4 separate regions of the Mus musculus genome follow, and regions 2, 3 and 4 are each reported to be linked to region 1. Evidence: microRNA targets listed by miRTarBase, many of them from high-throughput screens and not tested one by one. Region 1 holds a microRNA gene; each other region holds the end of a gene's coding sequence.
What was found. The annotated mature microRNA mmu-miR-675-3p reads CUGUAUGCCCUAACCGCUCAGU and lies in region 1 at 3,776-3,797, opposite strand. An mRNA with a match to its seed (bases 2 to 7 or 8) in the 3' UTR can be bound and repressed. Matches are read on the target gene's strand: a 7mer-m8 pairs with bases 2 to 8, a 7mer-A1 pairs with bases 2 to 7 and ends in A, and an 8mer does both.

Region 1 (7,118 bases):
TGGGCTGATGGAGGGGCTGTGCTGGCTGGAGGGTGGGGGGCTGGGCCACCTCTGTTTTCCCAGCCCCTACCCGTGGGCGAGGCTCTTGAGGCCCAAGACCCACAGGCACACCTGTTTGCAGAGCTTTGGTGATTTGGGGGCATCTAGCCCCCACCAGCCTGCACCTTGAGGTCCTGCCCCACACATCCATCCAGTTTTTCTGGGAGAGCTCAGAACTTTCTGCCTTAAATAAAGGAGGTGTGGATAAACTCAAGGTAGGCCTTGTCCTGTGACACCCTCACTATCTGTGACATTCACAGGAGTGGCTTGAGGAGGCATCCACCATGAGCCGGTGGGAGAGGACGGGAAGGAGCAATTTCTCCCTTTCCACACTGGCACCCTCATCTCCCCAGATTTGTCTTAGCGTCTTCTGGGTAGAACCCCAGGGTAAGAATGTGTGACTCCAGCCCCCTACACCTCAAAGCCTGTGTAAAACTCACATTTAGCATGCTAGGACCAGGAAAGCAGGGCCCAAAGGAGGTAGCTCATGTCACCCCTGAACCCCCTTTCCACTCTGTGACTCTATTTCTGTGTCTCTTAGATAGAGGGCCTTTTTGGGTACCCTTACCCCAATCTCCAACATCCATCCCCTGTGACTACCTCCAGTGCCTACTAGCTGTCCCTGCCAACGTGTCTTGTAAGGCAGCAGCTTTTGTCTTCTGAGCCTGGCTTTTGCAGGGTTGGGTGGTCAGATGTTTGGAATAAAGGCTGTTTGTAGACACCCCACCCCCACCCCACGACAAGCTGCTTTGTCACTGGGGCAAGTAACCTCTAGTAGGGTCAGGAAGATGGGCATGTTCTGACTGGAAGCTTTTGAAAACCTCTATGGAGGTGATCAGAGAAACACCCACATGCCCAGTGGGTGCCTAACCACCCTGTCCAGGAAGACCACAGAGGTCTCCCTCCCAGAAAATTAGAGGGCAAAATGATGGCGAGAGAAAGGGTTGTGGAGGGTCCAGAAGAGAGACCAGGCATGTGGTGGGGGTGGGGAGAAGCTGGCCCACTGCCCAGAGAGGGTATGGGGTGGAGAGGGTGGGTGTTCCTGACAGTCAGTCCTGTCTGGTCTTTGTCAGCTGGAGGAGATTTTCTTGACTGCTATAAGCACTGGGGCTTGGGGCTGGGGATGAGAGCCAAGGACCCCAGCCTCTTTTTTTTTTTTTTAATCTGCTCTTCAAGTCCCTTCCCAGTATCTGTACAGCTAAGAGTCTAGGAGCTAGGAGGCTGGTAGGATGCTCAGAGACGTGGGGGTCAGCTCAACCAGTTGCTGTCTCTATGAGGACACTAATAGCAAACCTATGGGGTACTACGCTTCCACCCTAGGAAGCAAGACCTCAGTGACAGTCCTTCATGTACCTGTCATTCATGCTGACCTCCCTGTCCTCCCTGGATATTCACCGTGCCCTGTGTTCTGAGTTATATTCAGACTTGTGCATGTCCCTATCTCTCTGCTGTGGCCCTTCAGCTCCTATCCACAGCAGACAGCAAGGGGAGGGTACCACTGCAGGCATCGACGTGGGCTCCAGTCCAGAGCTTAGCATGCTTGGAGCAGGAGAGGGAAGCCCAGAGGCCACCATGGGCCTCTTTATGTGGCTGTGGTCTACGCAGCCTCATGTGTAGCTGCCTACCCATTACGAGCCTTACTGCAAGGAGTCAGATTTACTGTGCAGTCTACATTATGCCTCGGGAGTTGGGATTAGTGTGAGGACTCAGAGTCATCCAGGCAGGACCTTGGGAGCAGTGTAGAATCCAGGTTTCTGGCTGGGCCCACCATCTCTCATTGCTAAGGATGTCCTTCACCTCCCCAGCCTCTCTGTCTTGAGGGACCCTGCTCACAGCCCTGCCTCTGTCTCCGTATGGCACTCTGGCATTTTTTAATTGTGATGTCGACTGCTTTGCCCGTTCTTCAGGCACCATTTCATATTCATAGGCCCCTTCCATACCATAGCTTCTTGGCATCCCATGAGGCCTTTCGCTGTGTGCCATCCCATGAGCCTCCTATCCCAGTGCCACCCACCTTTTCATAAGCCATCTCCTATTCCCCATTCCATCCTAGAGGCCCTCCCCATTTCATTATCCCCTTCATCATGGATGGTGTACCCTATCCCTTTTATTCCCCTTCCCTCATTTCTTTCCCCTGCCCCCCCAACCTCCCCCCATGAGTCGCATTATATTGAAGTCCACGAGACCAATGACTGTAACTGTATTTATTGATGGACCCAGGACCTCTGGTGAGGCCCTGGTGAGGAGGGGCAAAGGATGAAGTAGGGCATGTTGAACACTTTATGATGGAACTGCTTCCAGACTAGGCGAGGGGAAGGCGAGGCCTCAAGCACACGGCCACACCCAGTTGCCCTCAGACGGAGATGGACGACAGGTGGGTACTGGGGCAGCATTGCCAAAGAGGTTTACACACTCGCTGTATACATTCATACGGAGAGACTCAAAGCTATCTCCGGGACTCCAAACCAGTGCAATCGACTTAGTGCAAATTCAAAAGGGGGTAAATGGGGAAACAGAGTCACGGGTGCTTTGAGTCTCTCAAGCAAGGAAGGAACAAAAGGAAAGAAACAGAATTACAGGAAAGGAGGAAGAAGAAAAAGACAGGAGGGAGATGATGAAGTCATCCCGGGGTAGAGGCTTGGCTCCAGGATGATGTGGGTGGTGGTCTCCCGGGTCAGGCAGAGTTGGCCATGAAGATGGATTCTCAGGGGTGGGTGGGTGCTATGAGTCTGCTCTTTCAAAATGTTGACACCATCTGTTCTTTCAGCTTCACCTGCAAAGAGAATAAAGACAAATGAGGTGGGGCGGGGGGTGGGGTGGGGAGTGGGCTTGGCAAGCTTCCAAAGGGTGCCCCAGCTCACCTTGGAGCAGATTCCTGAGGCAGGTAGTGTAGTGGTTCTGATTGCAGCATCTTCTTGATTCAGAACGAGACGGACTTAAAGAAGTCCCCGGATTCAAAGGCCCAGACATGAGCTGGGTAGCACCATTTCTATGGGTGGGAGAGAATGAGACCCCTGTCCTTGGCATCCCACCCTCTCCCACCCACATGGGGCAGAAGAGAACTCACCTTTCATCTTGAGGGTTCAAGGTAGGGGGAGGAGGATCCAGAGAGCAGCAGAGAAGTGTTAGCTCTTTGGGAAAAGTGAAAGAACAGACGGCTTCTACGACAAGGCGCCAGCCCATGGTGTTCTGCAAAGGACAGAATCCTGAGTGAGTGGGTGGACAATTAGGTGGTTGAGCGGACTAGCCCTGTGGCAGGGAGTATGCTCACCAAGAAGGCTGGATGACTGCCCTTCTGTCCTCTCCATCACACCGGACCATGTCATGTCTTTCTGTCACATTGACCACACCTGTCATCCTCGCCTTCAGTGACTGGCAGGCACATCCACCTCTGCTGGAGACCTGGCTATAGGGAGAAATGAAGACATGAGTTAATTGAACTTGCGTGGGAGGAGACTGGGTGACCACGAGCGGGACAGACACTTACCCTAGTCTCCAGTCCGAGCTCTTCGAGACACCGATCACTGCTCCGTCGCCGCCCGCAAGGCCCTCCTTGGCCACGGACTCTGGAGGCCAGTGCCTCCCTGGCTCACCACCCCAGCTACTCGCTCTACCTGCACCCAACCTCCCTCCCTAGAAACTCATTCATTCTGCCCCGCCTGCCTCGCCTCGTCTGGCTTCATCCTGTGCCCTTGACTCCCCTGGAAATGTTCTGTCTGTCATGCCAGACCCAGGGACTGAGCGGTTAGGGCATACAGTGTACCAAGTCCACTGTGGGCCCTTTCCGCACCAGTCCCTGGGCCGCAGTGCCTCATGGGAATGGTGTGTCTGCAGGCTGGACCCACTGCAGCCTCCTTGCTGTAAAATCCCTCTGGAGTCCGATACCTGCAGCCCCCACTCCCCTTCTGGTGACACCCTGCACTGCCCTTCTTTTCCATTCTCCAGTTATTGAGGCTCTGGCAAACTTGGGACTTTGCCAGAGCCACTCTTGAACCTTCTTCTAAGTGAATTACGGTGGGTGGGATGTTGTGGCGGCTGGGGACCCATCTGTGTCTTGTGACCCCATCTTGCCCTGTTTGACCCCAGCCTAGAATGCTTCTGTTCTTGCTGGATCCCATGGTCTCTGCCACTGTCTCCAAGGACTCCTATCACCTCCCTGGAGGCAGCGGCCTCAGTCTTTACTGGCAACCCTGCACCTCTTCTTTCTTCTCTCTAAGAGCTCTTTCCACCTGGGGTCGCCAATGGTCCCCCAGCCTCCTTCTGTCTCGGCTCCCCCCGAGACGATGTCTCCTTTGCTAACTATCCTGCCTTTCTATGTGCCATTCTGCTGCGAGGCCAGCCGCTTCTTCTCACCAGGCCCCCTCTCTAAACCTTCGTTTAGAAGGTCAGTGGAGCGAGGCCAAGAGAGAAGAAGGAGACTCACCTGCCCAGCAGACGGCGGTCCTCACCTGCCCACTGCTGCCAGCTATACCTTCACTGCCCAGGTCTGGGGTCGAACCCTTCCCAGCAGCTCCCCTTTATCCGACCAGCCGCCACGTCCTGTAACCAAAAGTAACCGGGATGAATGTCTGGCTCCCCATTCCTCTCCAACCCTAGCTCAGGCCCTTCAGCTTCACTCCGATGTTTTCCAGCCTTTGCGATGCCTTTGCTCTGCCTGAGCTAGCCCCTCAGTCCTTCAACATTCCTGCCAGACTCCAGATGCCGAGGTGCTCCTCGGACCCCACGACTCTCCTCCAGCTCTCCCATCTTCCCCAGTTTCCCCGATACCCCCCACCCCCACCCCCCACCCCCCTCCCACACCCGGTGCTTCGGGCCCTCTAGCCCGGGCTTTTTCTAACTGGAGTGGCTCCGCCCAGAATTCCCGCCCCTACTCTGTCAACCAATCAGTACATGGCCCCGCCGGGGCCCCCGCAGGGCCCACCTCCACCCTGTATCGTTCCAGCGCACGTTCGCCTCACCCCACACCCGCACCCGTCCTGAAATTCTCCAAAGACAGCCTCACCACAACTCCCACTTTGGAATCCCTTAGACAGGGCCTGGCATTGTCCCCAGATATCTCCCTTGATGTCGAGAACATATAGCCCCGTAGCCTGCTGAAGCCCTTCATAGAACGGTGGTGCCCCAGGCACCCTGCCACACTGAAGCTGCCCTTTACTCAGTTTGTATAATGACCACAATGGGAATTTGAGGGCATGGGTCTCATACTATCCCACGGAGTATGAACAGCCTACGAGTGGCTAACCCCCAGCCTTTGTCCTAGTCTGCTTGACTGACCTTATCTGGCCGCAGTGGTTTCAACAAGGTAGTAGCTAATTTGGGCACTCCTCACCGTCCCTTTTCTGGGTGAGTCGTCACGTTTGTCAGGACTCTCTTGCGATGAGTTTTATTAGTTATCTTACAGTCTGGTCTTGGTCACCCCAGTCAACCGGAGGCACAGTATGGTCTCCCTATCCTACTGAAGTACTACTATCAGTGATAGAATGGGGACAGGAGAGATGCCCTGTCCCTCCAGCCACGTGCGTGCGTATACCATTGCTCTTAGCTTCTGTTGAAAGTTATGCAGCTGAAATCCACAGAGTCAGCATCCACAAATCAGGGCACCAGAGAGTAGAGCAGCTCTAGATGGAAGTGACCGGAGCTCCAGATGGGAGGAGGACTCAAGGGCTGACCAGTCATGACCACTCAGCAGTGGTTCTCACCTATGTGAGGTGCAATAGCACCTTGGCAGATCCTCAGCCTAGTGGCTGCATGTCAGCTGAGTACTCATTTCTGGCTCCTAGTGATCCTTCATTTTTACTCTGTGAAAAGCCCTGGTCATTGCTGTGGGTGGACCCTAAGTTATGATACTGACGGACACCTCCAATTTGGTCATAAATAGACCCCAGCCTCTATTATCTTGGCGCTGTAATGTGTGTCTGTGCTGTCACCTTGTGGTGGTTGTGGCTATCTCTGCGCTCTTAAACAAATGATCCTTTTCAGAGATCGGTATATAAGATGGAAAAGAATGACCCCATCTTCTAATGAGCCTCAAGAACCCTGGCAGCATCAGCAGACTAAAGGCCGAGGGTTGGCCATCACATGTAAGCTATTCACTGGTGTGGTGGCAGTTGGTCTCTGTCTCCCATCACCCCCCACATCACCCTTGCTATACTCCCCTATACTTCCCACTATATCCTCCCCACTACACCCCTGCTATATCCCCCCTGTCATCCTCCCCACCATACCCCTTGCCATACCCCCCACCATACTTCCCCTATGGCCCCCATACTCTCTGCTATACCCCCACTATACCCTCCCTGCTATACCCCCACTATACCCCCGCTATGTCCCCCACTATACCCACACTATACCGCCCCACTACACCCCCATTATACCCCCACTATGCCCCTCCTGCCATGCCCCCCACTATGTCCCCCATTATGCCCCCGCTATGCCCCCGCTATACCCCCACTATAACTCCCTCTATATCCCCCGCTATACCCCTACTATACCTCCCACTATACTTCCACTATACCTCCCCATTATACCCCCTCGCTATAACCCACGCTATACAACCCCACCATGCCACACCCGCTATGCTCCCTCTTGCTACCCACCCTCCTGCTTCACTTCAAACTAAGCGGATCCCTGACTTCTCCTAGTCTCTAATCTCAGCTTTGCAACTTCTTGCTACAGTTCCTAGGTTACCTGGGACATTGCAATGGTTGAACCCCAGCCTCTGCTTTTATGGCTATGGGGTTTCGGTGGACGCACGCACGCGGCAGTTTCTATGTCTCCCGCCTATAACCGATTCTGTATTGAGTTTGGATTGAACAGATCTGGCTAGCTTGAGGAGTCCCAAGGCAGAAGGGGACCATTCCGTAAGTGCACAAATGCCTGATCCCTTTGTTGAACCTGGGGTACTCAAAGCTTTGTCACAGCGGACCCCAACCTATGCCGCGTCTGCCGAGCAATATGTAGTATTGTACTGCCACCACGCGGCATCGTCTGTCCATTTAGCTATAGCCAAATCTGCACAGCGTGGAGAGTGAACCGATCGATCGTGAAGGGCGCAAGACTGAAGGAGCTACCCAAGAAAT
Region 2 (7,118 bases), not on the chromosome of region 1:
TTCTCTTCTCTTCTCTTCTCTTCTCTTCTCTTCTCTTCTCTTCTCTTCTCTTCTCTTCTCTTCTCCTCTCCTCTCCTCTCCTCTCCTCTCCCTCTCCTCTCCCTCTCCTCTCCCTCTCCTCTCCCTCTCCTCTCCCTCTCCTCTCCCTCTCCTCTCCTCTCCTCTCCTCTCCTCTTCTCTTCTTTTTTTTCTTCTGTGTAGCCCTGGCTGTCCTGGAACTTAACTCTGTAAACCAGGCTGGCCTCAAACTCAAAGATCTACCTGCCTCTGCCTCCCGAGTTCTGGTATTAAAGGCGTGCACCACGACCACCTGGCTTCTTTTTTTCTTTTTTAGATAGGGTCTCATGTAGCCCAGGCTAGCCTCAAACCTGCTATGTAGCTAAGAATGGCCTTAACCTTTGATCTTCCTCCTTGCACTTCCTGAGTGCTCGGATTACAACCACGTACCACCATAGTGGCTTGTGCAGTGCTAGGGATGGAACCCAAGGCTTATGCATGTTAAGCAGGTGTTCTTTATAGCCTTGGGGCAGGCCATTCTGTACAAGAAACCTTTTCCCAACAAGATAAAACAGAAGGAAGAAACTATGAATGGAACCAAGTGACCTTAGCCCATTAGAACAAGCATGCGGCCATTCTCACCTGTGCTTTCACTTCCACAGACCCTTCTGGCTGGTGGACGGGTAGACTACGAGGCAAGCAGGGCCTGTTTCCTAACAACTACGTCACCAAGATCTGAGGCGCTCGGAAACTGACACGTGGGCAGAGGAGCTCCAGGCGTGGACCGGGGAGGGGACTTTTGGGGACTCCTCTTCTGATCGACAGTGAGCAACTGCTACACCAAGGCCTGAAGCTATTCTGACACCTTCCCCCATGGAAGACACAGAAAAGCTTGGGTTAGGGACAAGGACAAGTTATGGGTCACTCCACAAATGATCCTAAAAGGTAGTCTAGTTCCCAGGAGCGCAAAAAACACCACCCACTAAGATTTATTTATTGTATTTAAATCTGGTGTAAGTAGCGGGGACTGCTTGGTGTCTATCCCACAGCCTCCTGCCCACTCACCAGGTCCAGGGGACAGCAGGCGGTGACTCGATGACAAGTGCCTTTAGTTGAAGAGCACATCTCACTCATTCCTCTCTCAGTACCTGATACATTCCTCTGTGCTAACCCCCCCTTGGGGAGGACCCACCCTCTGGAGGCTGGACTTGGGGCGAACAGGCACTCACCTGTCACTGCCAAGGGCGGGCAGGCCATCCTTCCGAGCCCATGGGAGCCGGGACCACTAAGACTGCTGGTGGGAAGAAGTTGGGTGCTGGGCTGATGGTCTTGCTTTCTCTTGGTCTTCGCTTGTAATGTGGCTGGCCCATGTTGGTTTTATGTTTAATGCTGTGCTTATAATAAGAAAGAGCCCCCCCAAGCTGTACATTTATAAAAAGTGATCATATACTGTATATAGAAAAATCTAGAAGCACATATGAATGCAGCAGGTAGTATTCCACTGTACCCATTCATGAAGGTAGGTTTTATTACAGGACTCGCACCAGGTACTTACAGACGCGCCCTCTCCTCTTTGCCTAGAGAAACAGTCACTGCATTCCCGCACAGTCCCTCAGACCCCCTTACCCTCTCCCTGTAGGAAATTCTCCTGTGACCCCTCTGCCGTCCTCCCTTACTTCCTAAATAAATGTAACGGAGTCAGTGCAATGCCTTGTTTCTTCATGACATTTATTGTGGGTTATAATTTTCTCCTAAAAACAAAACCAGTGGTATGGTCATACCCACCATTGTTTCCCCACTTTCCATGACCGTCACAAACATCTGGGATGAGCACCTTGTGAGCAGGAAAAGTTATGCTTTAAGAAATTTCTGGCCAGGCGTGGTGGCATACACCTTTAATCCCAGCACTCGGGAGGCAGAGGCAGGTGGATTTCTGAGTTCGAGGCCAGCCTGGTCTACAAAGTGAGTTCCAGGACAGCCAGGGCTACACAGAGAAACCCTGTCTCGAAAAAAAAAAAAAAAGAAACAACCAACCAAAAAAAAAAAGTGGCACACGCCTTTAATCTCAGCACTTGGGAGGCAAAGGCAGGCATATTTCTAAAAGGGGGCTGGAGAGATGGCTCAGTGGCTAAGAGCACTGACTGCTCTTCCGAAGGTCCTGAGTTCAAATCCTAGCAACTACATGGTGGCTCACAACCATCCTTTTCTGGTGCATCTGAAGACAGCTACAGTGTACTTAGATATAATGATAAATAAACCTTTAAAAAAGAAGATGAAGTTTCTGTCCTTGCTCTCTATTCTTGAAGTATAACAGGAGAATCAAATAATTAAAGAGGGGGCTGGAGAGATAGCTCAGCAGCTAAAAGCACGTCCTGCTTCAATTCTCAAAACCCACATGGTGGCTCGCAGCCATCTGTGACTCCAGATCCAAGGGATCTGATACCCTCTTCCAGCCTCCACAGGCACCAGGCTTACATATGATATACCGATATACATGCAGACAGAACACACACCACTGATGATGATGACGACTGTAAATGGTTTAAAAGGGGACATGCAGCTACATAAACTCAGCACGGTGATGAGTGTCTGTAATCCCAGCACTTGGGAAGTATGAGTCAGAGGATCAGGAGCTCAAATTCATCCTCAGCGGCACAGCCAGCGTGGGACAGGTGAGATCCTGTCTGCAAGCAAACAAACCACCCAAAGGAACCTAGACAGTGCTTCAGAACGAACTCGTAAGCTACCTCCTTAGTCCCAGAGACTATGCTGAGTGGTGCCTTGATCTTTTCCAACCCTGTGAGGGAAAACTCATCCGCATGGGTAACATCATCGCATCGAACGGTCCGTCACCAACCAGAGTCAAGCCAAGGTCCTTCCTGCTGTGGCCAGGATGTCTAATCCTCTAGTTTCGGGATGTACAGGGTTTTATTATAGCATGATTTTGATTTTTACCACTTACATGTTTTACTGACTCATGTGGAACACTTCAGCTTTCACATTATTCAGCGGAAGAGTCTTAAAAGTCCTCACGGCACCCTAAAAGCTCCTGAGTCTGGTCATTTAGAAGAATTATTTATTTATTTTTTTTTTTTTTTTTTATTTATGTATGTGGGTACACTGTAGCTGTCTGCAGACACACCAGAAGAGGGCACCAGATCCCATTACAGATGGTTGTGAGCCACCATGTGGTTGCTGGGGATTGAACTCAGGACCTCTGGAAGAGCAGTCAGTGCTCTTAACCGCTGAGCCATCTCTCCAGTCCCAAGTCAGGGCATTTAATGTTTAAGAAAAAAATGTAGCAAAGGTGGTTAATTTGACTACATCTGGAATTAGCTAAAACCCAAGTGGCTTGGTATACCTGTGAGGTTTTTCGTTTTTTGTTTTTGTAATTAAATAATTTGAAGTAGGAAGATCTATCTTTAATCTGGGCCACACATTCTGCTGGCAGTCTATATAAAGGACATGGAAGAAGGAAGCTATCTCTCCCTGCCTGCTTGCTCTCACTCTTCACTGGCAAGTCCGTTCCTTTACCGACATTAGAACCTACTTCAAGATTCTGGCATGCACTGAAGACCAGCCTTGTGGACTGAACTACTGGATTCTTGGATTTTATGTTGGTTGACAGCCATTGTTGGGCTAGCTGCATCACAGCCTGTAAGCCACTCCAGTAAATTACACACATACACGCACGCACGCACACACACAACCAGTTCTGTTCCTCTCGAGAACCCTGACAAATACATAAGGACATTATAAACCATCTTTGGAATATGCTCTCAAAAATCTACCTTTTCATGACATCAAAGGTTGTCCTCCAGTTTCCACATGCACATGCATGTGTGTACACGTGTGCATACACAAGCCACCCTCTCCTGACAGCCAGGGTTGTCCTCGGGATCCTACATGAATTTGAATGCATGTGCACACACAATCTGTCATCTGTTGGAGAGAAGCTGAACTCCAGCATCTTTGAGAAGTTGCAGACTTGTGGTGCTAGGAAAACTCTGTTCCTTGGTTGCACTTCCTTACTGTTCATTCTGAAGGAAGCTGGTCCAAGGCTGCCATGGGAACGAGCTTCCGCTAACTTAACAAGGGCTATTTATAAAACTCTGTAATAGGATTTCAAACCGTAAAGATTTTTAATGCCACACACACACACACACACACACACACACACAATGTTTGAGACTTATAGAAATCCTCATCAGGCAGCCCTGACTTCCTCAAGAACGGGGAGAAGCCAGCCATCACTGGAAGCAGGTCTTCCTCTTGTTCCTGCCATTTTCAACACAGCAGATCACAGGAGACCAGACTGTGGGATCTGCTGTCAGGCAGAAGGCAGCTTTCACCATATGCTCTCAGTTAAGGCAGTGTTGAGTGTCTTAGAGTTTCTACTGCTGTGAAGAAGACACCATGACCACAGCATTTAACTGGGTCCGGTTTACAGGTTCAGAGGTTTCGTCCATCGTCATCATGGCGGGAGGCATGGTGGCATGCAAGCAGACATGGTGCTGGACAAGAAGGCAAGAGTTCCATATCTGCATCTCTGGACCAGCAGGAAGAGAGAGTGAGCTGCTAGGCCTGGCTTGAGCTTCTGAAACCTCCAAGGCCACTCCCCAATCCCCTGGTGACATACTTCCTTTGATATGGCCATACCTACTTTAACAGGGCCTCCTCATGTCCTAATCCTTCCAAATAATACTACTCTCTGGGAGCCTGTGGAGGCCATTTTCATTCAAAGTACCACACAGAGTTAAACGTCACCGTGAGGCTTGGAGCACAGGTGAATTCTGAAAAAAATTAGAACATTTGATGGGCCTAAGTCTTTTCCTCAAAACAGGTAATGTCTTCTCACATCAAGTTGTTAGGAAGTCGCCAGTATAAGAGACACTATGAAGTTCAACAGTTAAGAGCACTGACTATTCTTCCAGAGGACATTTATTTCTCTGCACCTTCATGGCAACTCCTGACTGTGTGTAACTCCAATTCCAGGGGATCCAATGCCCTCTCCCAACCTTCAAGGCCACCAGGCACATACATGGTACACATACATACTTGGAGGCAAGAGCTCATTCATTTAAAAAAAAAGAGAGAGAGAGACTAGGTTTATAATTTTTCTTTGTTTCACATCAGTAGTTGGAACAGATCATGTCTCTGTGGGAGAAGAGATGCATCTTAAAGGGAGTGGGGTGTAGTTCAGTGGTAGTGCACTCGTGCTAGACATGCCAGGCCTGGCGTTCCATCCTCAGCAATAAAGAGGAGGTAAGACATGATGGAAGTGTGTTACTCACTTGGAGCTAAAACAGCACACCACATAAAGTCACCCCAGTTTTACCACAACAGGATGTCTGTCAAAAGCCACTTGCATGTTTGCAATCGGTGGTCACCCCAACTTGGCTGCTCATTCTAGGCTCATCCATCAAGAGAGTCCCTGCCTTACCCCTAGTGAGCCAGCTGTTTCTATCGCAGCGACACGGGAACAGGTGAGGCTGCTCACAGTTATCCACTCATTTGAAGTTGCCTGCATGTGTGTGGCCTTGTGAGAAGAGACCACAGGCAGACATTGGTGGTTGGTGTTGGGCAGGATCTCTAAACGGGACCAAGGAGGGAAGTTGCTGAGCTGCCCCACAGGGTAAAGCTTTTGCACCCCTCTTTCTCTGGAGCTTAGTCTTGCCTTCCCAGCATTCCTTTCTTCTGTCCGTGCCCGGAAATGGGTTCAGCAAACCCTCGAAAGGCACCCGCAACCCTGTTAACATTTTTTGCGAATCTCTCGTCCAGAATTAGAGAGGATCTATCTATACTCAAGGTCACACGCGCCTGACGGAAAATCCTGAGGAAGGCCCGGAAAGTAGCTGTGACCCAACCGGCACTCCGAAGATCCCTTCGGACTAAGAGGACACCCCGGTTAGCCCCTACCTCCCCTGGGAGTAGGTTGGGGTGCTTTGAGGCTTTTCAGCTGGAAGATTTTTTTCCCCCTGAGAACCAGGGCGGCCACTTAGGCTGCCACCCCTAAGCCAAGAGAAAATGCAAACCCGACCTCAAGGACCTGACCATCTTTCTCGGGAGGAAGGGGGAAGAGAGCAGAGTCCACACCTGGGGCCACGCCTCACCTTGATGGTTTCCTAACCTGATACCTGGCTCTGGAGCCATGAATGGCCAAGAGTAAGCAACTGGGGTTGTCTGAAGGAAATGAAGGCTCAAAGCCTTACTCAACTTTGTTTCCTGAGCCATTCAGTAAATCTTAAGTTTTCAGATGCAGGAAAGACTGATTCCAAGCTTGCTGTGAGTTCGATAGGAAGTGCCTGAAATTCAAATGGAGGTGGCTAGGAGGGTAAGTCCTGTCTCCACAATGGCACCCCTGAAGGGCTTTAGCTCTTTGTCTGGAACCTACATGGCTACTGGAAGTTTGTCCTTGCTCTCCCTTGGGGCTCTCAAGGGAGGTCTGACTACTGTGTCTCAAATCGTTAACACAGTTATGTGAAGGCAAGGGAAGGGCTGGGTGGTGGGAACAAGGTCTCCTTTAGCTGTCCCATGGGCAGATGACCTTAGACCCTGAAACTGCTCCCCTCCACACATGCTTCTCCAGCCCTTGGTCTTGCAGGAGACATGGAGCTTGCAGTTCTCTTGGCTTATGGGGGTCCGCGCTAGCCAAAGGGCTGTTGCCTAAGCACTCATGAAGGCCTGCCTGGCTTCCATCCCCAGGACTGCCACAGTCAACCCATGAGAAAATGAGAGAGGACTGTCCACCACAGGATCGATTTTCCAGGTGCCAGTTACAAAGGACTCACTTGACTGAGAGAGAGGCTGGAGATGAAGGCTCTGCTGGGTCTTAAAGCCCACTCTTCCTCCCCATCACCCTCACCCCCCCCCCCATCTCTATTCTTTCCCCTTTGCTGACTGCTTTTGTTTCTGCCCCATGGCTTTTGTTTCCACTTTCCAGTTGCCTTGAGATGAGCAGGCTAAGGATAAAGGGCATTCTGTCTTATTTAGATTGTACTGAGCAATGTAAGTGCTTATCCTGAGTGCTCACAGATCACAAGTTAGAGAAAAGGGCCAAGGGAACGTCTACTCCAGGTTTTTTGAATGGTGGATCTTGCACAGATAGGCAGGATAAGATC
Region 3 (7,118 bases), not on the chromosome of region 1:
ACCCCCTGTTCTAGACCACCTGAATCCCAAGTCTGTGCCTCGTCCTCGCTCTGACCCCATTTAGACACCCTCTCTGTTCTTGCAGGGAAGAAATGTACGTATGGAATCAAGTGCCGATTTTTCCACCCTGAGCGGCCAAGCCGTCCCCAGCGCTCTGTGGCCGATGAGCTCCGTGCCAACGCTCTCCTCTCACCTCCCAGGACTCCAGTCAAGGACAAAAGTAGCCAGAGGCCTTCCCCTGCCTCTCAGTCCAGCTCTGTGTCCCTAGAGGCTGAACCAGGCAGCCTGGATGGGAAAAAGCTGGGTGCCAGGTCATCTCCGGGTCCCCACCGAGAAGGCTCACCGCAGACCTGTGCTCCAGCTGGCAGGAGCCTCCCTGTTAGTGGGGGCAGCTTTGGGCCCACAGAGTGGCTTGCACACACCCAGGACTCACTCCCATACACCTCCCAGGAGTGCCTTGATTCAGGCATTGGTTCCCTGGAGAGCCAGATGTCAGAATTATGGGGCGTGCGAGGAGGCAGCCCTGGGGAGTCGGGCCCCACTCGGGGCCCCTATGCAGGTTATCACAGCTATGGATCCAAGGTCCCAGCAGCACCTTCCTTTTCTCCTTTTAGACCAGCCATGGGTGCTGGCCACTTCAGTGTCCCCACCGACTATGTGCCCCCGCCACCCACCTACCCATCCAGAGAGTACTGGTCTGAGCCGTACCCATTACCCCCACCCACTCCTGTCCTTCAGGAGCCCCAGAGACCCAGCCCCGGGGCTGGTGGGGGCCCCTGGGGCAGGGTGGGTGACCTGGCCAAAGAAAGGGCTGGTGTATATACCAAGCTGTGTGGTGTCTTCCCCCCACACCTGGTAGAAGCTGTAATGAGACGCTTCCCACAGCTGCTGGATCCGCAGCAGCTGGCCGCAGAGATCCTGTCTTACAAGTCCCAGCACCTCAGTGAGTAAGCCAGAAGGTGGCGCAAGGGGCTGTCGGGCATCACAGATAGCGGTCCCCAGCCCCTGCCTGGCCTACCCTGGAAGCTGGACAGAAGGACAAGTGAAGCAGGCAAGGGAATCCTCAAACCAAAGATACCATAGGATTGGTTCTGGCCCCGCGGCACCCCAACCCGTCCCGCACAGGTCAGAAGTGATCACCCTGTTGATACACATTGTATCTCTGTCATTTAAGGAGACGCTGCCGGTCAGGCCGTCCATCCGTGGCTGATGCCCAAACCCTCTTTTTTTTTTCTCAGAGGGCCGGGTGGGAGGCATGGGGGAGCAGAGGCCTGAGCTGGACCCCACCTTCCACCCTGTCCCTGGGACGCCGGCACCACCGGCTAGTTAGGCACCATGTGCCTGCTCTCTGAGGCCCCCTCAAGCCAATGCGGCCTCATCCCTGTTCACAGGGCATGAGGCTTCATGTTAGTAAGCAAGATGCTTCTTTAAGCCCCTCCCCTGCCCGCTCTGTCCACCTACACACCCCCCCCCCAACCAGGGCTCCAAGGCCCTCTGTTTCCACACCTCCCATGGGTGGGAGGACACATGTATGCTGTGTACAGAGGCGAGATTTAAATATTTTAAATGAAAAAGGTTGACAAAATAAAGGCTATTGCCAGGCAGGCTGGAGAGATGGCTCAGTGGTTAAGAGCACCGACTGCTCTTCTGAAGGTCCTGAGTTCAAATGTCAGCAACCACATGGTGGCTCACAAACATCTGTGATGAGATCTGGTGCCCTCTTCTGGGGTGTCTGAAGACAGCTACAGTGTACTTACATACAATAATAAATCTTTTAAAAAAGAGAGAAATTTAAAAGAAAAAAAAAGCTATTGCCAGTCGTTTTGAGAGGAAGTTGTCCTTACTGTGCCTGGTGGGTAGAGCTGCTCTGGGGTGACAGGAGGCCAGTAGGGCAGATGTCACTCCCTGTCCTCAGAAAGGAGGGTTCCCAGAAGCAGTTGGTCCCTTGGAGCTGAACCTTAATAGGAGGCAAGGTAGCAGGTGACAGCTGCAGGAAGAAGTGTAACGGCACAGAGCCCTGTGGCTTCAGCTGGGTAGAGGGGTGCCGGGGCGGGCGACAGCAGGGATGAAGCTGTTCCTCTTTTCTCTGATGACAAGAATTGAGGGTAGGAAACAGGGAAACGATTTGATCAGGGCCACAGAGGGCGGTGTGATCCAAGTAGGTGAGGGAGCCCTTGGGTGCTTGCACACAGGCTCCTCCTTCCAGATCTGCTGTGTGTCCAAGGAACCAGGGTTGCAGAGCTGGAGGAAGGGCTGGGGTAGTAGCAGCAGCTTGGAGACGCCCTGCCACTGACTCTACCAGCTGGAGCAAGGGACTATCCTTCCCAGACCTCAGTTTCCTCATCTATGAAATGGGAATCCTAATGGCAGCTACCTTACAGGTTTGTCATGAGGGTTCAGTGAGATAATACATGCTAGGTATGTGACCTGCCTCCTGCCGCACAGGCACTGCTCATTAGAAGGCTTCCATAACTGACTCCTGTGGGCAGGCACACAGACTGACCCCATCCACCACGTCAAACTGCTCATCAGCCCTAGACAAGCCCAGGCAAGATAACACCTTCCTCCCTCCTCCCAGCTCCAACTTCAAAGATGAACATGAATATTTTAAATGAAAGGCTAGGCTATCACACAATTCCTAAGCAAATATTACCAGCCAAGGAAAAGGGTGGGGGGAGGCGGAATTACAGCTTTAATAATCCTACCTTTGAACAATTCCTCTGATATTTGTACTTAGTAGTCGGTGTACCTTAGTGCATATTTCTGTTTTAAAAACTACTTCCGTACAGAACAGCTGTGAAGCTCTGGAAGAAAATGTCACTGTGGGAATCCTCCCCACGAGCTCCGCCCAACTTTTCCCTGACCACCCTTCCAGAAGTGCCTGCTTAGGACAAACATCAGGATCCGTTGGCATGCAGGAGCTGGAAGCTTCCCTCCCACAGGAATTAAAGGTGTCTATGCCATGCGTGTTCCTCCCGGCCTCCTCGGGAGCTGTTAGCAGCATAAGGAGAGACGGCAATGCCTTATTTATTCTTACAAAGGAACTACATTGTCCAGGGCTCTGGGAAGGCAGCCAACCATGCACTGAGTTCAATACTCAGCACCTGGTGTTGGAGCGTACACCTGCCATCCCAGCATCCCGGAAGAAGATGCAGGAGGGCCACAAGTTCAAGGCCGTCTTTGGTTACAAAGCAAGTTCCAGGCCAACTTGGCCTGCATGAGACTCTGGTCTCAAACACACGAAATAAAACACACGGACACACAAGGGCGCCAATGTATTCTCAGGTTAAACGGCCGTCTGTGGGCATCTGTTTGTCTTTATGGGATAGGAAGCTAAAATACCGGACAGTCGGGTTCATTATCAGTTGCTTGGCAATGCTGAATGACTTGCCCAAGGTCCCACGGAGGAAGGCAGGCTGGGGCAGGGCTTTCAGTACCCTTCCTGATCCCAAAACCTGACACCAGACTGTTGTGACTCAAGCCTCTGCAGAAATGGGAAGTGAGCTGCTCCTCCCACTGAAGCAAGTAGAATGCTCGCCCACTCGGCTGCTCAGTACGGCCCTGTCTGTACCATACTGTGGAGCTTTGGGGGCCATGAGATTCAGGGGCCGCTCACAAGGGGAAGTGAGAAGAACTCTTCCACTGTCCTGGCTTTCTTAGCCGGAGTTTGAAGTCATCTGTGACTGTCCTATGGGGGTGAGAAATGGGCTGACTCCACAGGCAGGCAGCAGCATGAGTGCCAGCTGGCTATGGCTAATGTTAGAAGGCAGGGCCTGGCCCTGCTGGTCCACTGAAACCAGTGAGGGCTACAGATTCAAACAATAGGTGCCAGCTAGGACCGGGCTCTGGGCTCAGGCCTTCTGATGCCTGTCTTGGTGCCCATGCTTCCTGACAGCTTGGCTCAGCTGGACTAGCCAACCACGTGGCCATGCCTCCAGGCCTCTTTCTCAATCTTGCTTCCAGGCAGGGCTACCCAAGCAGCCTGGCTCAAAGCCAAGGCTGTTTCTTCTCTGTGACTTGCTTCAGCATTAACTCCAAAGTTCTCACCACCTCTTGTCCCCTGGCCACTGAGGCCACTCAGACAGGTAGCACTGGATCACACGGGACCTTGGCCTTCCACCTGTGAAATGGGCACAAAGACACACCACCTCTCCAGACATTACAAAAGAAGACCTTAACTAGCAGCATCTAGAGGCAGTGAGGCCCCAGTTCACGCCCCACTCACTAGCAGGCAGCCCTGGCTACTCACTGCCCTTCTCTCAGGGCTTCAGCTGCCTGACCCACAGTGATCCACGTGGGAGCTTAACGGGGAGGGCGGCAGGGACAAAATGTAACTCCCAAGACCAAAGCTCGAGCCACCAGGCTTGCTGCAAGGGATCAAATTCCAAGCAGCCGCCCCAGCTGCTCCTTATGCCAGCTCTTCCTGGTTACTTGAGCCAAGCTGGGTGATGGGGAAACTGGTGTGTATGCAAATTCTCTGTTGGGAAATGATCTCTGGGAGCTGAGCTGGGCCTTCCCACCCTCCCCTCCCACTTGTACCAGCAGGTAGTGAACTCTAGGTGCTTCAGCAAGTTCTGCTCCACAAGACTAACACCTTGAGAGGGGGTGGGGGGGAACCCAGCCTGCTCAGAAGTCAAAACGACTGGTCTGCCTTTGCATGTAGCCTGAGACAGGAAAGCTTTGTATGCCCTGCCAGACTGAGCCAGCCCGTAACGGTGTGTGTGTGAAGGACCCCTGCTCTGGGTCACTCTCCACTCTGTCTCTGGGAAGACCTGGCAGTCCCTGAAGATGCTGGTACCACAAAGGACAAAATAGCCACCGTGCAAAGCCCACTTGGAGCTGCTAATGCCCTAAACTGCTGGTGTCTTTCAGTGATTAGAGTAGCCAGCTGCGGGGGCAAGGCCAGTGCCCATTTCTGCAGCTCCATTTCCTACTTCCCTTTTTTCCTACCACCAAGGTCCTCTGCCCACCTTCCCCAGGGACAGTACACACAGGTTAACCCATCTCAAGGAGGAGTGGGGTAAGGTGAGCGGACAGAACTGGGAAGAGGGTCACTGGCTAAGCTCTGCCAGAAGGAAGCCCAAGGACCCCAGAGCCTTTGTCCTAGGCTTCGATCTTCTATCACAGGCCCAAAGCAGACTGGATGGCAAGAACCTGTCCTGTGGACCTCCTAGTTCATGGGAAGGGTGTGGGAGACTTGGCTGAAAGAGGCAGGAAGTGGGGCCCTGTAATTAGGGAAGCCCGTGCCATCCTAGGCCATGGCATGTAAATCCCTCCAGTCAGTTCCTGGAGGGGGAGGAGGCCCAGTCTGTAACCGAGGGTGTGCCTTCTGAAGCTGTTTTCAAGGCAGCAGCAGCTGGTGACCCTAAACTGCTTACCCGTTTAAGGAACAGCATGAAGACTCCGTGGGAGGAATGACTTAGCCATCCCAGGCATGTGGCACCCTGCTGCCGCCTTCTGGCAGCTCCTGATACTACTACTACTGCCTGGAGCCAGTGGCTTGCTAGCTTGGAGTTGCTAATACCCCCCAAACCACTGACATCTTTCAGGGGGCAAGGGTAGGAATGACTCCATGAGGTCTGAAATAACGGGCTGTAGAAGTATAACTCTGTCTGGGACAATATGCAAAGCAGAACCCGAAACAGACGGGGAACTCCTTCTGGCATTTGTTTTGGACAGGGTCTCGCTCAACATGCAGTGCCGGGCTGTCTGCCTACCTCAGTTCCCAAAGTACTTAGCTCACAGGTGTGTTCTTTTTGTCTAAGCAGTGAATTTTCAAAGGCATTCGCAGGAAGTTCTGACTGTCTGGGCAATAAATTACCCAAGAAAAATTATTGGGCAAGAAGTACGGCTGAACGGTGGAACATGTGTTCAACACGTGTCCATCCCCTCAGCAGCACGTGTTGCACACACATGCACTCAAGCATGTACACACACAAACACACACATGACACACATACAGACACACAATACACACATACACACATACAGGCTGGAAGAACAATCAAGGAGAAAAAATAATAATTGCATATACTTAAATAAAATCACCATGAGTGGGCTGGAGAGATGGCTCAGCGGTTAAGAGCACTGACTGCTCTTCCAAAGGTCATGAGTTCAAATCCCAGCAATCACAAGGTGGCTCACAACCATCCATAATGAGATCTGATGCCCTCTTCTGGGGTGTCTGAAGACAGCTACAACGTACTTACATATCATCAATCAATCAATCTTTTTTTAAAATATCACCATGAGCTGCCATTCCAAATGAATCGAGTCCTGTCGATGTGGCAGGCTGTGGGGAAAGAGGTAGTGTCATCAGTAGTGTCCTACAGTCGACCCTGGAGGGGACCTGGTACTTCAGTCACCTAGGAAACAGAGCTCTTGACTCGGCAGGCCTACTAATCTATCCCAAGAAAGCCTTCATCTGCAAGATGACGGAAGGCATTTCCTACGACAGCAACAGTCAGTAAGAGCACAGGCTAAGTAAACTAGCACACTGCAGGGAATATTAGTCAGTAAGGAGGAGGCAGCTATCTCTGGAATTTGGCTTGCTTTTGTTGTTTTGGATAGCTTGAGATAGGAACGTTCCTCCTGCCTCAGCCTCCCACTTGCTGGCTGGGATCACTGGTAGACACGGGTGGTCAGTATCAGGGAGTCGGTTCTCAGCTTTTGAACTGTGGGTTCTAAGGATCAAACTCAACCCGCAGGGCTATCTGGCCAGCCCAAGAACTGGCTTTGAGATATTTCCTAATCTAAGAAGCCACTTCAGAAAGGGAAGGCAGAGCAGCTCCCTATCATTTCTGGAAACGGCGTTTCTGGGGGGGGGGGGGTGGGGGGTGGAGCTGGGAGACCTCTGACCAGGAGCCTGCAGTGTGTTCTTGTATGTGAATCATAATAAAAACCCGGAGTACACATATTTCCAACACATGCTAGCAAACCATGACAGCAGTCACTTTTCATAGAGGAACACAATTTCAGTATCAGCAGTTTCTTGTGGTTCAACCTAATATTTATTTATAAATTATCCACATGTATTAATGAACTAATAGTTATGTGTATTACACAACATATCCAAAGTGAGGAACTACATAGGGTTGAGGCCCAAAGTGGAAACACAT
Region 4 (7,114 bases), not on the chromosome of region 1:
AAGAGTAAGAACCCAGATACAATTTCTCTAGTTTATATGATCAATTTAAAAAAGAGGCCCTAGTGTCTAGCTTCCTGCCTGAAAAAGTCAGATAGCCTATGAGGTAGGAGAAAATGGAGACTACCAAGGCTGGCCAAAGGAGAGGCCTGGCCAGCAGCCAGAGGCCACAGAAAGGTCTGAGATGTCCACGAGCTTGACAGTGTCTGAAAGAAATCAAGGCCAATTTCAAAGGTGCCATCCAAGACCTCTCCTGTCTCATAGCCCCCACCTGCTCCCTTCCTTTCAACCTGCTGCAAGCTGAATGGTAAGAGGAGAGGGAAAGGCAAGAAGTGCTTAGCTATTAGCCTAAAGCAAGCTGGGGTTGGAAGGGAAAAGGCCTTAACTTTAAACACACTGTAGAGTTCTGGCTACAAGACTAATGAGACAAGAGACTATGAATAGCTGCTCTAGAGAAAGTACAGGACCTGCCACAACTTCACTGATGAAGGCACCTTTCAGGGGGACATGTAAGAACAAACAATGTTGCTGTTGTCAGTCTAGTTCAGCATTTGTTAATCTATTCCAAATCTTGATATCCTAAATTGCCACAAAGTCCAGACTTGCGGCAAATTGCCCTGGATTACCTGTTGGCAATTCCAGCATTTAGATGCACACCAGGATGTAGGCCTGTAAAGCATTTCAACTGCTTCCCAAGCTTTAGTGTGTTGCTTTGTGGTTTCTGTTTCTGAACTGGTAGCCTTACTAACTGCAAGACATTATCTTTAGACAAAGATAAATAGTGTTAAGATATGCATATGAACAGAAGAGAGGAGCAGAATTGTTCATTCAAGTAAGTCAAGCAAGAGAAGGGAGGAGCAGGTGGGGTGGTGATAATTGGCTCCTATAGCAATAGAGACTTGTCAACAGTAGAGAGAGGAAAGGATGAGGGGCATGCCAGCAGTCCCTAGTGTCCCCTTACAGCTGTTCTCAGCTGCAGTCTATAGCCCAGGTGGCCATAGGACCCCTGGAGACCCTCTCTATTCTCTTTAGGCAAGTCTGATTTAAATGAACTTTGTCCTTGAGAGGAGCAGCATCTAGTTATAAGGAGTCTTTTCCCAGAAGCCTTTCCCTAAAGCATCTTATGTGTAACACCCCTCTCAATGACTCTCTAGTGAGGGGCTGTAAGAAGCCTTAGGGCTACAAAGAGGCTTTTAAACTTTGTCCTTTTTTGTGAAAGTTGGGAATTCTTTTTGACCATTAGCACAATGAGAATCAGATGTGCCAAGTCACTAAGAAAAAGTAACTTTTAAAAAAGGTTTATGTGTATGTGTGAGTACCTGTATAGAAGGCTGTGTGCCACATAAGTGCTCATAGAGGCCAGACAAGGTCATTGGATCCCCTGGACCTGGAGTTTCAGGTAGTTGTGAGCCTCCTGACCTGTGGTCCTCTGCAAGAACAGTAAGTATTATTACTTGCTAAGCCATCTCTCCAGGCCTGAAAATCTGATTTAAAAAATTATACTTAAAGTATATGAAAGCACTTTAGTTATAGTCATTTATTATATAAGTTGGATTGCATAAAGTATGGTTTCAAATAAATTAAAAAAAAAAACCCTCCACAATTCTGTCTTTTATAAAGATAACGATAATAGAGAATATTCAGTTTAGCTCAAGTTTGGAATAAATGCACATCATTTATTCCATATATGTGTATGTTACTGGTAGCCAAGGTGCTAATTTAATGTGGTACTTGAAAATCAGGACCAGCATCTTTAAAATGTTAGGTATTGTGTGTCTACCATAGGAGCTCAGTTGCCTTCATGCCAAACTCTGAATAAACACAATGGACTTATTCATTGATACTGCTATAAAGCTTTGCACATACAAATCAAAGATGGAAAGGAGTAAGTGTCAAATCCTCAGATGCCTTTACATGTACCAGGGTCAGATCCATCTCTACTTACATACTTCCATAGCAACTCCTGAGGTCATCACTATTCCACTCACAGTTGGGAAACTGAGGACTTTCTTCACTTGATCATACTCTGTAGTGATTCTCTGCACTACTGTGGCCAGTGCTGTGCTTGTCTGGTACCTTATCAAGCTCCATCTTCACCTCGGAATCAGGTGTCTCCTGCCCTACCCGGGGTTTGTGTAAGTTTCTTGGGCCTCATCTTGTTGTGCCATATGCTGTCAGGAAGCTTTGCCAATTACAAAATGAAGGCAGTTTGTGGTGACCCTTACACTAGAAACACTAGAGCTCTTCGATTATCCTCAGAGTGTCCACCACTTGGGAGGCTGAGCAAGTGCTAAACACAATAAATGTCAATAAAAGCACGTGTTGAATTTAAAGAAACATCTCTAGAATGCTGTGATTATGCTGGAAATTTGGCGTACCAATTTTATCTTCCACCATGTCCTTGAGAATCGAGAGAAAGTGGTTTAGAAAAATAATACTGGACTTAGCTAAAATAGCTCAGCGGGTAAAGGTACAAACTGCCAAACCTGATGACTAAAGTTTGATGTCTGGGATCCACATGATGAACAGAGAGAAATAACTCTTAAAAGTTGTCCTTTGACTCACACACACACACACACACACACACACACATAAATATATAAAAAGATATTCAGGATATGAAGTCAGTACCTATATGCAAGTTGCGACCAATGGTAAAAATAATCCCCCAAAATTTTCATTTCAGATTCCGAAGGAATCTGGAGGTATGAATGCTAATATTGGAAAGAGATGCCACCTTTGAAAACATCCAGTTAACCACAGCAAAAGGAATTTCTACAGGCAGCCACTGTGACCAATGGCTACACCCTGGCTTTGAGAAGACAGTAACAGGACACAGCCACCTGATGGCCCAGTAGACTCCTGCACTAATCCAAATCCTTTCAAGGTTAAATATGACCTTTGTGAAGAGTCTGCTTCGCTCATTCTTCTAACCAAGCTCTAGTGCCAGGGACTAAGCCAGAGGCTTCAGACCAGGGACTGAACAACAGTCTCCATCGGCTGAACCAGCATCCCATTACAATTGCGACAAGGGCCATGAAGGCGGAACACAGAATCAAGAGAGCAAGCTTCAGGTAGGAAGGTTAAACAAAGACTTTAAGGATGAGGAATCAGCAGAGGGAGAAAGTGGGGCTTACGTGCTGCAGTGCTGCTTTAGCGTGGGCGCCTTGACATGGCAGGAACCATTGGTACTGGACAGCAGGAAGTGAGAGTAGTTAGGCAGAGCAGGGTGAGCACAAAACACCACAATCAGCTGTAAAACCCAATGGGAAACCATCAAGTCTGATGGGCAGGCAAGAAGCCCTAGGCTGTCTAAGGCAAACATGCCTGCTAGTCACGTGGGCTCGCCTTCTGGAAGCTTCCTCCTGAGTTTCATAGACTTGAAAAGGGTACTTACTGTCTACTTGTAAGTTCCCATGCTGTACTAATATCCAATCACAGAAGGAAAAACCAGCCTGGTGGGTCAGTTGAACCAGGCAGGCAGAAGTTGAAAATGACATGTCTCTGATTCCCAATTTGAGAATTACGCAATCGTAAAGTATCAGAGCCACCTGTAGCCACTGCTCTCCTGCTAGTGCAATCTCTGAGGAGCAAAACCAGAAGAGCAGGTATGCATACGCCTGGCACTCAATAAACCCCAATACTCCGCCTCGAAATCTGAAGCCTATCTCTGCCTTACCCCTCTGCAGTCAGTCAAAATGGACTTACTCTCATGTGAAAAGCAGTGATTCCACACATTATCTGCGTTGCACAGATATTTAATTACCTAATTTAGGTGGCTAGTTTTCATTGAATTCTCAAAAGCTTTATGTAATGAAACTTCAACCCCTACCCAATGAAGAGGTATAGCTTTAAGAAGGGTTGCTGACACAATGACGACTTTGGGACCCTCCATTTATCTTTGAGGATCACCAGAGTCACGGCTGGCATCAACTGTTGCAGGTTTTCAATGCCAGGGCTCAATGGATGCCTTTACTTTTTTTCTGCCTTGTTTCCTCAGAAAATGATTAGAAACTCAAGTACAGATTCAGCTGGGGTGGTCTCATGCCTAATTCAAATTGAGCATCTGCTAAAGCTGGAGTATATACATTCAAGGTTTCAAGATTAGGGACTTAAAATTTAGAGCTATATCTAAGCCAATTATACATTAGCTTGCAACTGTCACTGCAATGACCTTGTGAAAATGTGGGTGCCTGGTCTCTCCCAAGAGACTGTAGTGTGGGTAATGCAAGCAAGCCATTCAACACCCTTACTTTTGAGAAACATTGCCCATAGCAAAGAACAGCAACAATCTCAGTGAAAGGCCAACACTTCAGAGTGTACTCCTGAAGTCATTATGTCAAGAGATCTACGATGATAATGTGAGGCCCCAATTTAGCCATAACTAAGCTTCTTTTCTTCTTTTTAAACTCAAAAGATTGAGATAAACTTCTACTTAATAATGACTGTAGCACTATCAAGGTAAAAGAGCACCAGGGATCTCAAAACTGAAATGGAAGTCTCCAGAAGGCCATGCAGAGATGGAATGTGTGCAGTGATACCAGAGTTGTAGCGTCAGAGGAATCTTGGCTTCAGTGCTTGGCTGCCTCTGTGCTTTGGATCCATTACCCAGTCTTTCCAGTTGACATTTCAGGAAAACTCCACAAGAAAGTTAATCAACATATACTGCCACAAGGCCTCAGTACTAACATTTTCTACTTTACAGTGATACACGTCAAAATTATTCACTTATTTTTGGATGCTGAAGACAAACATCTTTATTAAAGATACTACCAAAATTTTGGCAAACATTTCAAAACAGATTTGTAAACATAATGCTTCCCTTTTCAACTGGCAGCACTTTGAGACAATACAAGACAACCTGAATCAACTTTAGTTCAAAATCTTTATATTTTGACCACATAACTTATGTTCCCACATGATAAGACAAGTGATAGTTTAAATCAACGTTAACAGATAAACTCCATGAAATGAAAGTTTGTGCTATTTGATGAGTCACAGTATGTTATGGTTAAATATATCTACTCTTTTTATATTCCTGGGATCCAGGATGAAAAAAAATTTAAATATACATCTGATGTAGGTAATAGCTTCTTTGCATATCTTTCTTCAAAAAATACTTTATAGCAGTATATAAATAGGTTACCTACACATTTATTTTTGTCATTTTGCCCCAAAACTATAAGATCTGTTTCATTTTCATAACATATCATTTTTTGCCCAACATTAATAAAGCTGACAAACTGTTGAAATGGAAATGCTTTTGTCTTCCACAATAGAAGTAGCAATTTGACAGAAACAAACAAAAACCAAGCAAACACACACCAACAAGCTACTGCAACACTCGTCAGCTCTTTAACCTGAGTGTCCGGCCTACTGAGAGTAGCAGCTTTTTAACCTTCACACAGCTCACATCCACAGCAGCTCTGCAGACAGACAAGCAGAACACACAGGTTCTGATGCTGGTAGGCCACAGTGTGCTTCCCGGGCTGGGGCTGTTATCACTGGGAAGCAGTGTAGCTACTGGTTAACCACATGATGTACACAACTAGCAAACACCTTAAGGCAGCCATTGCAATGGGGGTTTAACTTTTAGGGCAGATTTAACACTCTAGAGCCAGACAGCCCGTATGTATGTATGTATGTATGTATGTATGTATGTATGTATGCATGTATGTATGTATGTATGTATGTATGTATGTATGTATGTATGTATGTGTATAGAAAACTATACACATTCACTTTCTATTTTTCAACCCTCCAAAAACAATGTTTTGATTTTTTGTACTTTGTGCAAATGTCTAAATATTCTACCATTTAAGGCAAAGAGTTTACATTAAGAAAGGTCAGAAAATAGGCTTTTGTTTATCCAAAAGCTTTTCACCTTGCACATTACTGTTTTGTCTTGTTTTAAACACACGCAATTCTTTGCATCTGTATGGACTTTGCATCCCCGATATCTAAAAAAAAAAAAAATCATCGCTAATGACAAAGACAAGTTATCAAGGAAAATTGATTTGAAGTATAGACACTGGATCCCCAATCTCTTAAAAATTGCTTCTATTAACAAACAAGTTGGGGGTTGGGGGTGGGTGGTTGGGGAGAGGACCAGAAAAAAAGCAGCTTCAAAATTCAGGGCAGCAAAGTAAAATAGAGAGGAAAAAAAGTAACTCAAGTTTACTAATACTGAAACTTCCAACAAGCAAAGTTTCATCTTTTAGAATCTAGAGCAACTCATCTGGAATTTTAAATAAATAAGCTTTAGTTTATTCACATCTTCTGGTCCAAGCAGAGCTTTAGTGCCATGACTCTGCTTGCTGTTGGTCAAATTCACCTATTAGTCTTTTGATGTGAGCCAGCTTGTTATGAAGATATTCACATCTGTATTTTTCTTCATGGTAATTGGGACTGGACTGTAGACAAAGAAAATAGTGAGGCATTAGGTCACAGAATTTACCCTGCTTCTCACTGTAGGCCAGAAAGGCAAAGGCGTGGTACTCACCTGCTTGATCTTCTGATATTCCTGTAAGACTTCTTCATGAACATTCTGTAAAGTTATAAATTACAATTAAGAAGAGTATGGTACTACATCTAACAAGAAGAGTTAGTACTATATCTAACAAGCACCTGGAAGGTGTAGGAAATACTGATGAGATATAACTTGAGACATTTGTCCCAATTTGGCAATTTGGCAGCAGCTATCAAAACAGCAAATGCAAACTTGACTCAGCAATTCTACATATTCTGTAGGTCTATCATCTCAGACGGACAGACAGCTAGCAGCTCTGTCCAGCAAGACAATCTACATTACAAGAATGCCTCGTAGGCCCTACAAAAGGAGAGTAAAAAGAAAGTTAAGTGCCCTGTAGGCCCTACAAAAAGGACAGTAAAAAGAGAGTTAAGTGCTTTTTAAGTTGATGAAAAATTTTCCACAAAGCATTGTACTGGTGAAAAAAAGTACAAAATAATATGGACAGATTGATAATACCCTTAAAAGCGAGACATAATATTACATTTTAATAATTCAATAACTTTTACTATTAAGTCCTTCTAAATGTAATAAACTAGGAACCTAGCAAACAGAATAATGGTTGAAATTACTAGAATGTAACACAAT

Region 2: the mRNA of Myo1e is a reported target of mmu-miR-675-3p. Seed matches in the 3' UTR shown: 7mer-m8 at 1,883-1,889.
Region 3: the mRNA of Zc3h12a is a reported target of mmu-miR-675-3p. Seed matches in the 3' UTR shown: 7mer-A1 at 1,757-1,763.
Region 4: the mRNA of Ell2 is a reported target of mmu-miR-675-3p. Seed matches in the 3' UTR shown: 7mer-m8 at 5,661-5,667.

Annotation. Positions count from the first base shown.
Region 1 is chr7:142,573,303-142,580,420 of GRCm38, forward strand. Mir675 (microRNA 675) reads right to left here and starts at 3,845; the gene lies at 3,762-3,845. H19 (H19, imprinted maternally expressed transcript) reads right to left here and starts at 4,844. Exons shown (of 5, transcript NR_130974.1): 1 at 3,527-4,844; 2 at 3,311-3,441; 3 at 3,107-3,228; 4 at 2,901-3,028; 5 at 2,228-2,812. RefSeq lists enhancers at 1-610, 1-18.
Region 2 is chr9:70,398,063-70,405,180 of GRCm38, forward strand. Myo1e (myosin IE) reads left to right here. Exons shown (of 28, transcript NM_181072.3): 28 at 660-2,005. The coding sequence ends at 736. Among named protein-coding and RNA genes, the nearest start is that of Mir5626, 4.1 kb to the right of the region's middle.
Region 3 is chr4:125,113,112-125,120,229 of GRCm38, reverse strand. Zc3h12a (zinc finger CCCH type containing 12A) reads left to right here. Exons shown (of 6, transcript NM_153159.2): 6 at 86-1,816. The coding sequence ends at 951. It overlaps Meaf6 (MYST/Esa1-associated factor 6), which reads right to left. Exons shown (of 8, transcript NM_001374123.1): 8 at 6,992-7,118. Among named protein-coding and RNA genes, the nearest start is that of Zc3h12a, 11 kb to the left of the region's middle.
Region 4 is chr13:75,769,976-75,777,089 of GRCm38, reverse strand. Ell2 (elongation factor for RNA polymerase II 2) reads right to left here. Exons shown (of 12, transcript NM_138953.2): 11 at 6,500-6,544; 12 at 4,729-6,410. The coding sequence ends at 6,294. Among named protein-coding and RNA genes, the nearest start is that of Ell2, 66 kb to the right of the region's middle.